Linked DNA regions of Diceros bicornis minor. The protein of the gene in region 1 interacts with the protein of each later gene in a pairwise test. Links are inferred from orthologs where the notes say so. Each region holds a gene or a part of one and is shown on either strand. Other genes may lie near its edges.

Evidence for each region. The genes of interacting proteins can lie anywhere in the genome.
Region 2: the proteins of NECAB2 (region 1) and NEK6 interact in binary tests that used the Homo sapiens proteins (3 or more experiments, as listed by UniProt). The link is inferred for Diceros bicornis minor from reciprocal best matches to the Homo sapiens genes NECAB2 and NEK6.

What each region holds. Positions count from the first base shown.
Region 1 is NC_080771.1:33,091,586-33,098,999, reverse strand, and holds the start of NECAB2 (N-terminal EF-hand calcium-binding protein 2), read right to left. Parts: upstream 3,022-7,414; coding exon 2,803-3,021; intron 236-2,802; coding exon 211-235; intron 1-210. Other genes in the region: OSGIN1 (oxidative stress-induced growth inhibitor 1), read right to left, coding at 4,782-5,730. UniProt on the Homo sapiens protein: May act as a signaling scaffold protein that senses intracellular calcium.
Region 2 is NC_080767.1:32,843,258-32,850,157, reverse strand, and holds the start of NEK6 (serine/threonine-protein kinase Nek6), read right to left. Parts: upstream 3,009-6,900; 5' UTR 2,942-3,008; intron 2,506-2,941; exon of another isoform or gene 2,424-2,505; intron 1-2,423. UniProt on the Homo sapiens protein: Protein kinase which plays an important role in mitotic cell cycle progression. Required for chromosome segregation at metaphase-anaphase transition, robust mitotic spindle formation and cytokinesis.

The DNA.
Region 1 (7,414 bases):
ATCCCTACTAAGTAGGCACTGTGGGAGTCCCACTGTACACATGGGGAAACTGAGGTGCAGAGCCAGGATCCAGCCTTCAGACTTCAGAGTCCTGCACTCTTAACCTTTAGGTTTGAGGTAGTCCATGTCTCTACATCTGACCCCTTTCCCTGAAGCATCTGGACAGAGAACCAAGTCCTCATTCAGGGACGGTGGGGGAGGGAAACTCACCATTTTTGTCTGCTCGGCGGAAAATCTGCAGAGAAGAGAGGTCGAGTCAGCCTGGGCCGAGCCGGGCAGGCGCCCTCCAGCGGTTCTGACCGGTAGTGAGACCCCACTCGTCCCCCGCGGGCCTGGGGAAGCTGAGCCTCACCCCCTCCCCAGCGAGGAGACCCCGGCTGGGATCCAGGGGCGGGGAAGGGACGTTTCAGGCGGAGACCGCCCCAGCCGCCCGCGCGGAAGCAGCCACCCACTCCCTTCTGTGCCGCCAGCCTGCCCACGGCCACGCCGACACACACGCACACGCGCGTGGACACGCTCACACCCATCCACACGCCTGCGGGTGGACTTCCAGAGCTATCGGTCCACGTGGCTTCACCCACTGTCCTGTGCTCAGTCGCACACTCAGAATTGTGTCCCATGGGCGCAGCCACACGCCTTACACCATTGCACCCCTCCCAGAACCCCTGGGGAGCCCCGGTTTTCTCCAGGGAGGTTGGGTTAAGTCTGAAGGAAGGGGTCTGCTAACAGAACCTCGAGACCTGGCGAGTGGACCAGCCGCGGGCAGGGCTGGATTATTTTGGGGGTGGGGGAGTGGGTGGAAGTAGGCAGTAGGGAACCAGCTGCAGATGCAAAGTTCTGGCTGCATCATGAGGGGCTGGAGGCAGGGCACGCCTCCCCCCCCCCCCGCCCCCCCCCCCCCCCCGCCCCCTCCAAGCCTCAGGTGAGACCAGATAACTCCTTCTCTTGTTATTTTTGGGACCAGGTAAGCCATGCTGATTGATTGAGGAGGGGGAGGGGGAGGGGGAGGGGGAGGGCCCCCCCATGACCACCCCATCTTTGGTCCTTGCCTTGGTGCCAAGGGAGGATGCCCCCCCATCCTTCCACCAATGGGGCGGGCATCCATTATCAGGCCCCTGGGGCTGGGACAGACTGAAGCAGCAGCTCAGGGAGGGCTTCTGGAACATCACCCCCCTCCCTCAGCTGAACCCCGAGTCCAGGGCACCAGGCGGAACCCACTGTGGCTGGAGCAGAAAGGGAGGCAGTTATGGGACCACTCCAGGCCCTCCTCAAAGCCCCAGCCTGGGCGCCCCACACCCCTGCTCCTGACTGTGAGGTTCCTGAGGCCGGGGTCCCACCCTCAGGTGCCTGCTCTGGGCCGGGGTGTTAAACAAGGGAATGACAGGACCACAGGGATGCGGCTCGAGGAGTCTGCACCAGCCTGTGAGCCCCGACGCCCGCTCATCACCCCATTTCACAGAGGAGGAAATGCAGACTCAGAGCCCACACACCGCCAGCATGAGGACTCGAAGCCCACCTCCCGACTGTCAGAGAGAATCAGGAGGGGTCGGTGCAGGCTTCCCTACGAGGGCAGGCTTGCGTCTCCGGACCCTGTGGCCCTGGGCTTTCAGCGTGAACTCCGCTGGGGTTGAGAGGAGAGAGAGAGGGAGGGAGGGGGAGAGAGAGAGAGGGGGAGAGGGAGGGGGGGTCTAGCTGTGTAAGTGTGTGTCGGGCTGTGTGTGTGTGTTTGGGGGCACTGGAGCCACAAGCACTCAGAGCACAGCTCCCTTTCCCTACCCAGTCCTCTCCACCCAGAGTCAACTACGGTTTCCAGAAGAGAGGAGACCCACGGTCCCCCCACTCATAGGGCCGTGCAGTACACACACACAACACTCCCAGAAAGCCACCACACACACGTGAAGCACCCCATCCTGCGGCCACCCCCACCACAAAAGGACCCTCACTGGGACATGCATGTCCCACCACCCGTGATCTCACTGGGGGGCAGGAACCCCAGAATGAAGAAGTTTCCCACGGGGCGGCCATCCACCCTGTAGAATCTCTCTCCCACCCGGGGGAGTGCGTGGGGGGGGGGTGAAGTGGAGCTTTGAGTCCCAGAGGGGACTGGGGGGGGGCGGTGAATAGAGGGAGGGTGGGAAGGGAATGGGGGACAGAGGGGCCTAGGAGTGCAGTGGGGGTGGCTGGGGGGAGCCCAGGGGGTCCGGGATCAGCGAAGATGGGGGTGGTTTGGCTCCACTGAAAGGGGAGGGGAAGACAGCTGGGGAGGGGGCTTCACTTTTAAAGAGGCTGTGTCGGAGCGAAAGGGGAATACCGGGCTCAGAGTCTAAAGCCAGGACGAGAAAGCCGGCACCTAAAGCCCGGGGGGGGGGGGGGGGTTGTCTCTCAGAAAAGTAGCGACTCGGCAGGGATCCGGGGTGGAGAGGAGGAGGGGGCTCCGGTCTCAGGAGGGGATGAGAGTAAAGAGCGAGGCGCGGGGCTGGGGAAAAGACGACGGTTTGGCCAGCACAGAAGTAGGGGGGCAGTGGCCGGGGCGACGGGCTCCAGAGTCCCGGCTCCGGGAAGGTGGGGGTCCCGAGAAGTGAAGGGAGGTTGGTGGAAGGAGAGGTCGTCCTGGTTCGGGGACAGACCCCGGCCGGGACGTGACGGGCTGGGGGCTCGCGCTCTGGGGCGCAGAGGGGGATGGGTCGGGGTCGTCTGCGCAGGGAGGAGAGGACGCGGGTCGGGGCGGGGACCCGGGAGGGCGGCGTCGGGGTCGCCCCCGAGAGAGGAGGGGACTCGGGGTCCCGGCCAGCGCGTACTCACGTCCAGGATGACGGCGGTGCCCCCGCGCGGCGAGGCGGGGCCGGGGCCGGGGTCCGCGGAAGGGGCGGCGGGGGCGTCGGGGGCCAGCGGCGCCCGGGGCTCGCCCATCCTGGCGCCCACCCAGCGCAGCAGCCCGCCCAGCGCCCGGCCCTGCGGCGGCGGCTCCCGGAGCAGCCTGTGCGCGCCGGCCCTGCACAGGCGCGCCGCCCGCTCGCACATCGCGCCGCGCCCGCCGCCGCCGCCGCCGCCCGGAAGCCCGCCGACCCCCGCCCGGCCCGCGGCCCGCCCCCGCGCGACCCCCTCCCCGCGCCGCCCGCGCGCCCCGCCCTCCCGCTCTCGGCCCCCACGGCCGCGGCCACCGCGGGGACGGGCCGCCTCCGGGGAAGGAGGGGGAGGGGGGCGCTCCGCCCGGACCCCGAGCCACGTGCCCCGTGTCCACACCCCCCTCCCCCCACTCCCGCGGCCAGGCGCGGCGGCAGGGGGCTGCCCGCCCGGAGCGCGAGGCCTGGCGGCTGGACCCCGGCCCGGCCGCATGGGGGGGTGTTGCGCTGCCCAGTAGGCACGGGGTTGGTGGGGGTCTGGCTGCGTGGGGGGCATCCCTGGGGGCTGCCCTCCCGAAGGTCCCCCCACCCCACCCGTGGCGCCGCCGCAGGGGCCGGAGCTCAGGTGTCCGGCGAGCCTGGAGCGCCCTCTGCCGGCTCCAGCTCCCGAGATGAGTGCCCACGCGCGCGGGCTCCCCCATCACTCCCACTGACACCTACTCCTCCCTCCCGGGGGCGTGCATGCTCCCCCAGACCTCCGCCTCCCATTACACAAAGACCGGAACCAGGCTGCGCCCCAGAACATCCTCTTCCCCTCACACTCCATCCATCCATCCATCATCCACCCATCCATCATCCGTCCATCCATCATCCATCCATCCATCCATCCACTGGTCCAAAGGATTAGTTAGGGAGCACCCGATAGGTGCTAGGCCCCAGACCCTGTGCTAGGCGCCGGATTCCAATAATGGGCAAAACAGACTGGGTCCTTGGCCTCCGGGAGCTTACATCCAAGTGGGTGGAGCCAGATACTGGAACCATTTCACAAATAAATAAACCATTACAACTGAACTGCCATAAAGAGGTGGCACTTTGGGCCATGAGTGAAGGATTTGTCCTGGTGGCCATGTGGCCCTGGAGGGGTCTTCGTCAGAAGAGGCTTCCTAGAGGAGGTGATCCTTATGCTGAGAGAGTGGAAGAAGAGGAGAAAGAGGAAGAGAGAGGAGGGAAAATGCCCTGGGCTAGAGACCAGCCTGTGCAAAGGCCCTGCAGCAGGTACAAGCCTGATGAGGAACTGAAAGGAGACAGTGTGGCTGGAACCAAGTGGGAGAGCAGCAGGGACTAGGTTGGAGGGGTGGGAGGGCTGCAGAAGGCTCCCCAGCACCTCGTTTCTCCACACCCTCCCCTCACTTCTCTACATAGCTGTCCCCCACTTGGGGCACCATCCCTTATCTCCCAACCCCCCAGTCCAAGGACTTCCTCCTACATGGCCCTGTGCCCTCCCCCCAGCTCCCAGAGAAGGGTCCTGGGCATCGGGCCCCTCCCCAAGCGTAGAATCCTCAGACACATGAGTGGAGGCAGGCTCTGGTTTTATTTGGGACCTGATTCTGGAACGAGCGGGGCCTGGAGTCCTCCTGGCGTGGTGCTCAGCTGGCCCTGGTGATCCCTGCTCAGGCTGGCAGCTTTCGCCCCACTCACAGGTCTGGGCCTGCCTCGGCCTGTGGCCACTGTTCCTGAGCCCTGGCCTGAGTCCGGGCAGCCTGGCCTCCCCACTCCTCTTCGTTGGTGAGGCCGCCTCCTGGGCTTGTGGCCGCTCCTGTCTCCTGCCAGGAGAGGTCTCCTTCTCTCACTGGGCATCTTGGGATGGCCTGTGTCTGCAGGGCTGTGGTGATCTCCCTGCCTCTTTAGGGCCTGGGTGCGAGGATGCCAGGCCGGGTGCTAGGGCGGCCTCCTGGCCTCCTTCCTCAGCAGGGAGCTGGCCACGGCCAGGGCCCCACCCTGGACAAACCGCACAAAGTTGTCCCCGGCCAGCGGCCCCACGGCATACAGGCCCTCCTGCTGGGTGCTCTGGTAGGTGAAGGGGTCCACATCGATGGGGTTCCTCTTCGCGCTCAGTGGCTGGTCAGGGTCCATGGCAAGGTCAGTGCCCGCCCCGGGGAGGAAGGAGAGGTCGGGGTGGGAGCCAATGAGGACCAGCACCAGGGAGATGCCGAAGACCTTCTGGAGGCCCGTGGGGTCCCGGAACACGGCCTGGCGGTCCTCCTTGAAGAGCAGCAGCTGGTGCTCGGGGAGGCTGCGGTAGCCCTCGTAGGGGCTGGGCAACAGGATGGACTGCTCCCGCATCATCTGGTGCACCTTGTGGTACTCGGGGTACAGCATCTTGGGCAGCTGGTTGAACACCAGGCCGGGGTCGTCCACGGGCCGGCGGAAGGCGTGGATCACCGGGATGTTGTAGTGGCGGGCGTAGAGGACCGCGTCGGCCGCCGACAGCCCTGCCCCGATGATGAGGATGGGGTCTGAGGCCGGGGTCACCATGCCCGCCCGTGTGGCCACCTCCAGGGCCGACAGCTCGTGGTGCACGAAGGGCAGGGCCTCCCCGGGGATGCCCAGCCGGGCCGGGCTGTCCGACGTGCCTGTGGCCAGCACCACGTTGCGGGCGCACAGGGAGAAGGGCTGCTGACTCCGGTCCTCGGCCGTCAGGAAGCCGCTCACCTGGAAGAGGGGGCTGGGGTCCTGGGCCCCGGAGCCACTGGGCTCAGGTATCCCCCACTCCACGGCCGTGACCACGGCGCCAGACACGAAGTTGTGGCCCAGGCCTTTCTTGGTCACGTAATTCCTGTAGTAGTGAGCGATGTCCCCGGCTGTAGCCCGGCTGTTGCGAAGACCTCTGGGGGGAAGGACATGGGAGGGTGAGCGTCAGAGAGTGGACTGGGGTGTGGGGGCCATCAGGCGACTGGGGATGGCCAGGCTGGAGTCAGGCCCTAGAGCCAGACAGTGGCTGTGCCACCCGCCAGCCATAGGACTTGCCCAAGTGGTTTGACCTCTTGGAACCTCAGTCTCTTCTTCTGTAAAATGAGACTGATCAGGGTACCTCATTAGGGTGAGTGTGGGCCTCACCCTAAAGGGGTTCAGAGTGTGGCCTCTAGAGCCAGACGGCCTGGGGTCAAATCCTGGCTCTGCTGCTGGTGAGCTGTGTGCCTGAAACTCTCTGTGCCTCAGTTTCCTCATTTGCAGCATGAGGGTGACGATGGTGACAGTACCTACTTTGTGCGGTTGTTGAGAGGATTCGATGATGATATAAACAAAGAGCTTAGAATAGGGCCTGACAGGTAGTGAGTGACATATAAGAGTCATAAGAGTTGGCCATTATTGTTACCTCGAAGGATTAAATAATACTCCACATAAATATGGTAGGATTCCATTTTTATGAAGTTCAGATAAAATTAACCTATGGAGTTAGAGGTCAAGAGTGGTCACTTCTGGGGAGGGGGTGGGGGCGGGGACTGGGAGGAGGGGCTCCTGGGGACAGGGTGTCTGTTTCTTGATTCCTGGTGGTTGGAAGGCAGCTGGGTCCACTTTGGGACATTGCGTCCCCCAGCATGCACGTGAGCAGTGTGCTTTGCTGTACGTAGGCTATAATTCAGTAAACGAGTGGATTAAAAATAACCCACGTAAAGCACTTTGCACAGTCCCCAGCTCACACAGTAACAGCAGGGATGATTTTATTATTGCAATTATTATTCCCACCCCCTCTGGGGCCGGGACTGTGGGGCCAGCACTGCTGGTGTCTGAGGTCCAGGCTTTGCGTCATCTCAGCTCCTCCCTACGTCTAGCTGTGTGGCCTTAGGTGAGTTACTTTCCCCAACTGTGGATATACTGTTAGGGATGAACTCACTTAATGGGAATCCTGTGTGACGCGCCACCATGATCAATTGTCACGAGCTCAGACCACATCCCCCGTGGCCACTCCAGCCAACCCAACTCGTTAGTCTGCTACTGAAACTGGAACTGTGGAATTTATTTCTGTGGGTTTGTCATTTCTCTTTCTCTGTTTTAGTAAAAATTATTTTGAAGGGCTGTCCTAAGAAGATGTTACATATGGGCTTATTGATAATAATGCACATTGGAAAGAATGAAGCCCCATGACTGGGCCTGGTCTGGGGACCGTGGCAGCACCACGAGGGCAGGGAGCCCATCTGTTGTGGGTTTGGGCTCCGACATCTAAGCACAAGGCCCGACATGTAGGGAATATTCAGTGGAGATACTGGCTCCCTCGGGAATATTAGGTGGCCGCGTAAAGGATGGTGCAAACACTGTAATCGCCACATGCAATGCTGTGACATCGTGTTCAATTTTAAGAGTAGGATATGGAAGAGTCCGTCTACAAATGAAGTTTAAATCCTGTCTGTCTGTTAGCAAACACATCACTAACAAGCCCGGATGTCTCCCTACCACATCTGCAGGGACAAAAGTCTTTGTGTCAAAGAGACAGACAGTGGACCCCAGAGAGGTGGAGTGCCTGGTGGGTGGGGGCGACAGGCCTCCCCTGCGCCCGTCACAGCCCCCGAGGG
Region 2 (6,900 bases), on another chromosome or scaffold:
ATGATTGTTCCCATCGCACAGTGCGGGTGAGTGGATTGAGCGGGACACGGCACTTAAAGCTTTCAGTACCCTTCGTGGCACATGGTATACCCTCAATAAATGGTGGCCACTGGTTGTAGCAATACTTTCATAAAATTACACACATTGTTTCATCCCTCTGAGCCCCGGTTTTCTCATCTGTAAAATGGAGACAGAATCCCCTACCTCCCAGTGAAAATTAAATGCATGGATGCCTGTTAAAGCACTCAGCACACAGTCTGTGCACCTTCAGAAGGCACATGTCATGCTCCCGGGGGAATGGAAAGAGGATGGGCGTGAAGTCAGGCAGGTGACAGGAATCTGTGTCCCAGGACACAGGCTTGACCCCTCTGAGCCTCAGTTCCTTGTGCACATAAAACCGAAAGCCATTCTCTGCAGGATGACTATCCTGCAGCCCTTCTCTCCGCACGCAGTGGGTGCTCCATAAATGTGACTTCTCTTTCCCTTTCCCTGTTCGTTCCTTGCTCAAAGCCACCAGCAGTGCCACCTGGCAAAGCCAGGAGCTCCGTTTCTTGAAACCCGAACGGCCCTAAATCCAGACCAACCTGGGCTGCTGCTTAAGTCTGAGACTCTGTCTTGTGAAGACAGAAACTACTTTTTAGTCATTTCCGAAGCAGACGGGACGCAGGGGCTGACAAACCACAGGGACCATTTTAAATCCTGGGCTTTTCTTCTGGGAAGTTAGGCAAGAACCTTCCCAAATGTTTGCCCGTGGGGCTCTCTGCCAGGGAGTGACTCATCCGCAGCTCCCCACAGGCATATTTTATTTGGGGGTGGGGGATAGAGGGAGGGCTTGGCCTTGCTGGGGGAAGGGGAGGCGGCATTTCCAGCAAATCCAGAAGGTGTTGTTTTTCATTTTTTAGGACAAAAAGAAAAAGAATGTGGGTCTTTTTTGTTTCCTTCCAGGTTTTGTTTGCTAAAAGACCACGTTCAAAGTTCACTCGGTAAGCTGCCGTGTTGGGAACAGGCGCCTCCAGCCAGCTCTGCATCCCTTTCAATGAAATTCTTCTTCCATTAACGCTACGGTTTTTAAATGGGCCTCCCAGGTTTGCCTGCGCAGACACTGAGCTCCTAAGACGACATTTTCCCCTCGGAAAGGAGAGCTGAATTTTGACAATTCAGAGGAACGAGGGAGCTCCAGACTTTCTGAAGTTTGCCTTAAAGCAATTAAGACTTTCGACTGCAGAGATTTTCAACGTTCATAAAGCCCCCAAAAACCTGTCAGTCAAACCTACAAGGACAGACCTTGGAAGACAGTGTCCCAAGCCTGCTGTGATCAATTTGTTATTGTCTCGGGGCTTTCACATGGAGCCCAGGCTGGATACAAATAAATCAGATGCATACGTATCTACTCAGGGAGGCAGGCAGAGGGAGACCCCCAGATACACAGACAAGCGACTCCAGACCCCTGGTCTCCCCGGGGGGTGAGCCCCCCAGGGAACCAGGGCCAGAGAGGGGCAAGAACAAAGCCAGGGGACCCAGAGGGCACTTAGGAAGAACTGAACACAAGTCCTCCAGTGCCAGGCCCATCACAGCCGCAGCCCAGCCTGTGCGCCCTGGAGTCCCACAGATGGTCCTGCCAGTGGCCCTGCCCCGGCCTGGCTCTGGGGCCACGCCCCCTGCCAGGCCCAGCAGGGATCTGTGGGTCTGACCTCTGGCTCTTCACTCACCAAACAAGGCCCGGCACCCACTGGGTGCCCGCCAGGCCTGCTTCTCTCCACGGGCCCCCTGCATGGGGGCCAGCTGTGGGCACATCACGTAGCAGGCCCGGTAGGCACAAAGGGGGGCCCTCAGCCTCCATAATAAACACACACACACACTCCTGGACACAAATTACACGCTCACATCCACATACACACACTTTTGTCCTCACAGGCTCACAAACGCGCACACAAATCACTTGTGAACACTCATGCACGTGCATGCACACACACATACTCCCTGAATCCACACAGAGTGGGTCACAAAATGAGAATACACGAGAAGCCCCTGGCACACTCCTTGGCACAGAGAACACACTCAGTAAACGGATAAGGGGGAGCCATGCCCATTCCCCCGCACTCGTTCACACCAAACAACACAACCCTGACACGCCGATGTGCACACGCACACACTCCTGCGAACACAGCCCCGGGGACAGCTGGACACGCCGCCCACGCACGCTTGGACGCACGGCCGCGGACACACTCAGACTCGCACGCTCACACGCGCCCCGACCTCACGCGTGCACAGCCGCCCGCTCTCCCCCGCGGAGCCCCGGGCGCGCGCGCGGGCACGCGCACCCCGCTCGGCCCGGGTGTGGGTGACGGCCCCGCGGCCCGGCCCCCGCCCCTTCCCCGGCCTGCGCCGGCCCGATCCGGCCGGCCCGGCCCCAGGCCACTCACCGGCGCGCGGGCGGGCTCGGCTGCCGGCGGGAGGCGCGGCGCGCGGACGGCGGGCGCCGGCGGCAGCGGCGGGTCCCACACGAGTCGGCGGCGCCGCGGCCGCACGCTCGTCCGCTCGGTTCCGCCGCCGCCTGCGCGGGCTCGCGCGCGCGCTCCCGCCCCTCCCCGCCGCGGGCCCGCGCCGCCCCCTGCGCTCGTGCGCGCTGCCGCCACGCAGGCTCGGGGGGCGCCCCCGCGGCGCCCTCGCCGCGCCGGGATCCCTCCACTGCCCCCAGCGTTTTGGGCAGCGAGTGGTCCGCTCAGCCGAGGCGCCCCCTCCCCGTTTCAGAGATGGGGAAACTGAGGCCCAAGCTCACACCGCGAGTCGGGCCCAGTATCTCCCCCTCTTCTCGGGCTCTAGACCCTTAGGGTTAGAGTCTGCACTCAGCCAACCCCGGGGACCCCTCCCACGCACTGTTGAGTACCCATCGCCTGACACTGCTCCCATCACAGCCCCGGTTGCACTGAAATGGGCTAACCAACGAGCGCTTATTTACGCCTGCTGAATGTGGGCACGAAGCAGGCTCCGAAAGTATGTCGATGTGGTGAAGGTGCTGCTCCCCGCCCTCAGCGCCAACGTCTCCCCGTCTGGCGCTCCCCGCTTCCTGTGGATCCCAGAACCAGCACGTCAATGTGCAGAGGTTTCTGGAAGAAGTCAGACTCCCCTAATGAATGCTTGTCACACCCTCTAAGGAGACAGTCTCCATGGGGGCCCAAGGGCAGCAGCTCAGTTCCCCGCCTCACTTCCTAAGGGGACCCGCCCCCCCCCGCCCCCCCAAAAGGGGACGCTCCTGGCTCGGACAGTTCCTGTTTCCACACTTGCTGCTTCTCCACCACATGCAAAACTGCCGGAACCAGAGACTGACACTGCCTGCCTGCCAGCTGCCCAGCTTGATCATAGCGCTGTGCTGGGTGCAGGCGGATGCCCGCTGGGCCTCGTTTGCCCGGTGAGTGAACATGTTTCCACTGGCTGTGAGCTATAACAATAATGTCACCCACTGAACCCCCGCTGTGTGCGGGACTCGCGGCTGCACGCTCTGCCTGCCTTGTGGTGTTCAGTCCCGCCGCTAGTCTCAGAAGGAGTCATTATGCTACTTTCGTGCCCATTTTACAGCAAACGAGGCTTAGAACTGAAGCTTAGAGAAGCAAATTCTCTTGCCCAAAGTCACCCAGCTGGTAAGTGGTTGAGCTAGAAGCTGGACCGCAGATTGTCTACTTCCAGTGCCTGTGTGCCTAATCTACGCAGTCTCACCTCATGAGCAGCATAGCTCTGGGCTGCTGGTGTAAGAAGGGGCAGACCGGGCAGCAGCCGATCCAGAGGAGCCAGCCCAGTCCAGCCCTTCCACGAACCAACAGGGATGAAATGGATCACTCTGCACATTGGTTAGCTGTTTAATTGGGGATCTGTTTACAACCTCACCTCGCATGATATACCTTGCAGTAAATGTCAGATAGATGAAGATTGAAGAGTTAAATATGAGAAATAAACATTGCAAAAAGTAATCGAAAGACAGAAGTTCTGAGACAGTGTGTTGCAGTGTTACTAGCGGATCAGTGATATTGGCTATACTCGTGCAGCAAACATTAGTTCATTCATTCATTCACCGGACACGTATCCACAAACGCCTTCTATGGGACGGGTACTATTCTAGGCACTGGGATATGCTCGCGAACAAAATATAACCCTGACTCTCTTAGGGCTTCCATCTGGGAGTGGGGGCTGGGAGGAAGAAAAGTACCTGGCATGATGAGGATAATAAGTCTGGTGGAGAAAATAAAGCAGAGAAGGGGGAGGAGAGCCCAGGAGCGCTTTTTCATAGCGGTGCTGGGAGAAGGCCTCTCTGATGAGGTGACATTTGAGCAGAGCCCTGTATGAGGGGAAGTGACTAGGACAGGCCCCATGCTCCGAGACCCGTCCTGGTACGCTACAGAGCAAGAACCTGAAATTCCCCTTTGAAGGAAACTCGGGGAGCAGCACCAGACCACTGGGGCCCTGGCAAGTATCTGTGTAAAACTCTACCATTTGCAAAGCCCCTTTCCAGCCTCACAGAGCCCCTGTAACAGGTACTCCTAGTGTCCTCATTTTCCAGTTAGGAAACGGAGGCCCAGAGCGGTCAAGCAATGTGCCCCAGGTCACACAGCCAGCCACAATCAACAGAGATGGGTCTGGCTGCAGGCCAGCTGATGGCTGCTGCTGAGTGCTAGGGGAATGAAGAAGTCCTTCCAGCCCCTTCCTTCCCTCTTGGACTATAATTCAGGAATGGGAGGGGGTGGCCCAGGCTTTTGCTGTAGGTTTCTAGAAACAGGAGGGTGCAGCAGCAGGACTGTGGGAGAGGGGATGGGAGAAGTCATCTCCACCCCGTTTTCCTGGCCTTCCTCCTCCTCGCCCCCTACTTCCTACCCTTTGGCCTGGTCCCAGCCCCTGGTGACATGCTGGGGGAAAAATAGGTTAAATTCTGCCCAGAGACCCTCCAGACTCCCTGCACTCCCCCCACTCTCCTGGCCAGGGCAGGGGGTGGAGGGAAAAGGTACGACGCAACCTGAGCCCCACTCAACTTTTGTTTTTAACTCAAAGGATTTTTCAGCGAGTCCCCAAATGAGTCACCTCGAAGAGGTGCTTCGCAAAATGACTCCCAGAATTAGAATCAACGTCTCCCTGCGCACGGGGCTGACACTTCCTCCCGCAGTGGCGTCTGTGACTCTGGTCTGGGAGAAAGGCGCTCTCTGTGCACCCCCCAGAGTTTCTGGATGAAGCCTGTGTCGTTTCATTATTTCTCTGCGTTAGGGGAAGGGCAGCCAGTCTTCCTGGGCATCTTCTCCGAGCCCGGCTCTGCGTGAGGCATTTCATTCTCGCAGTGTCCCTCCAGATGGGTCAGAATTTCTGTCTTACAGATGAAGAAGCTGAGGTTCAGAGAAGTCAGGTGGTTTGAACACAGCCAGGATCTGAACCCGGTTTACCCAAAGCCTCTATTCTTGTCAGTATTTGGGGGAGGGGTAGTGGGGGGGAAGGGGGGGTGAAGTATTAGAATCAGACCATGTTCCTTTGAAGGCCCTTGTCCAAATGTCTTCTCGCCAGCCTCCTGACAATAATTTTTGTGGGGGGCTAGTCTTGGTTTTCCCAGGAAGTCTGGTTTGTGCTTGTCGCCGGGGCATGATTATTAATAGCACCACTTTCACTCCAAAAGTGTCTCGATTTGGATAATTCACTTTAGGGTCGCCCTGGTTGTTTGCAAATGTCATCGTGTTGGGGGATTCAGATTTTATATTATATCAAATACAAAATGGGGGCCTCTTGTCTGCTGGACCTTCTCCGCATCCTGATGTGTGCATAGCTGACCAAGAACTTTCACAAGAGTTCATGGGGCTTTTTGGGAGCAGCAAACCCAGCTGGCTGGGGAAGGAATCAGGACTTGGGACTCCCTCCCACCCCAGCTCTGCCAGTCCCTTCCCCACTGGCCCCCAGCTATCTCCTTCTTTTCTCTGGAGGGAACCAGTGTTGCCAAACACACCGTTCCCAGACAGAGTGTTTTGTGTGAGTGTGTGTGTATATATGTGGGTGTATGTGTATTTTTTTTTCTTTTCCTATTTTTAGCCCAAGTGATAGTATCTGATCCACGCTGCTGAACACCTTGTGTTTTCTTCACTTCTTGGAGATCACTTCCTATCACTCCATGGACAGCTATTTCCTTTTTTATGACTGCATAGTATTTCAGAATATTTGTATTTAATCCACGTTTAGCAAGTACCTGCTCTGTGTACCATTCTAAGCAACTTGGGAGATAATGGAATTTTCAGCCACAGCCCCTGCCCTCAGGACTTACAGTCTGGTTGGGGGACAAGAAAAATAGAAAATATTGGAGGGATGTAGAAGAGCATTTTCTCCAATGGCCCCCAAGTTCATTTATGAGGTTTGGCTTTGGGGCTGATATATATATATTTTAATTCTTAGCTCCAGGTATCTGTAGGGTTGTTGAAAGAGTGCAGGCATGGGTTCTTTTGAGACTTGAAAACTCAAGTTGCAAGTTCGGGCCATCCGTCTCATTCTGGGCCTCAGTTTGCTCGTCTGTAAAATGGGGGCAGTCAGCCTCTGTCACAGGATTGCAGTGATCACATGAAATTGTATTCCTGAGAATACTTGGTGAAGAGTTAAATGCTGTGCTCCGGGGCTGGAAGATCTGCAGAGGCTAAGACGAGGCTCTAAGGCAGGGTACGTTAGTGCAGGTGTCCTGGCTCTTCCTGGTAAGCCTTTCATGCTTTGCTGATCCTGTGATACAGCCTGCTGAACAGTTCTCTCCTCCCACCTTTCACAGCTACGGTCACGAACTCCGAGTCCGCTACAGGCTTGACACGGTAGACCCAACACCCAGGAGGCCCCAGAATGTGGAAACAACACAGGTTAACCGTCTCAGGGAGGGCCTTCGGGGATTGTTATTCCGAC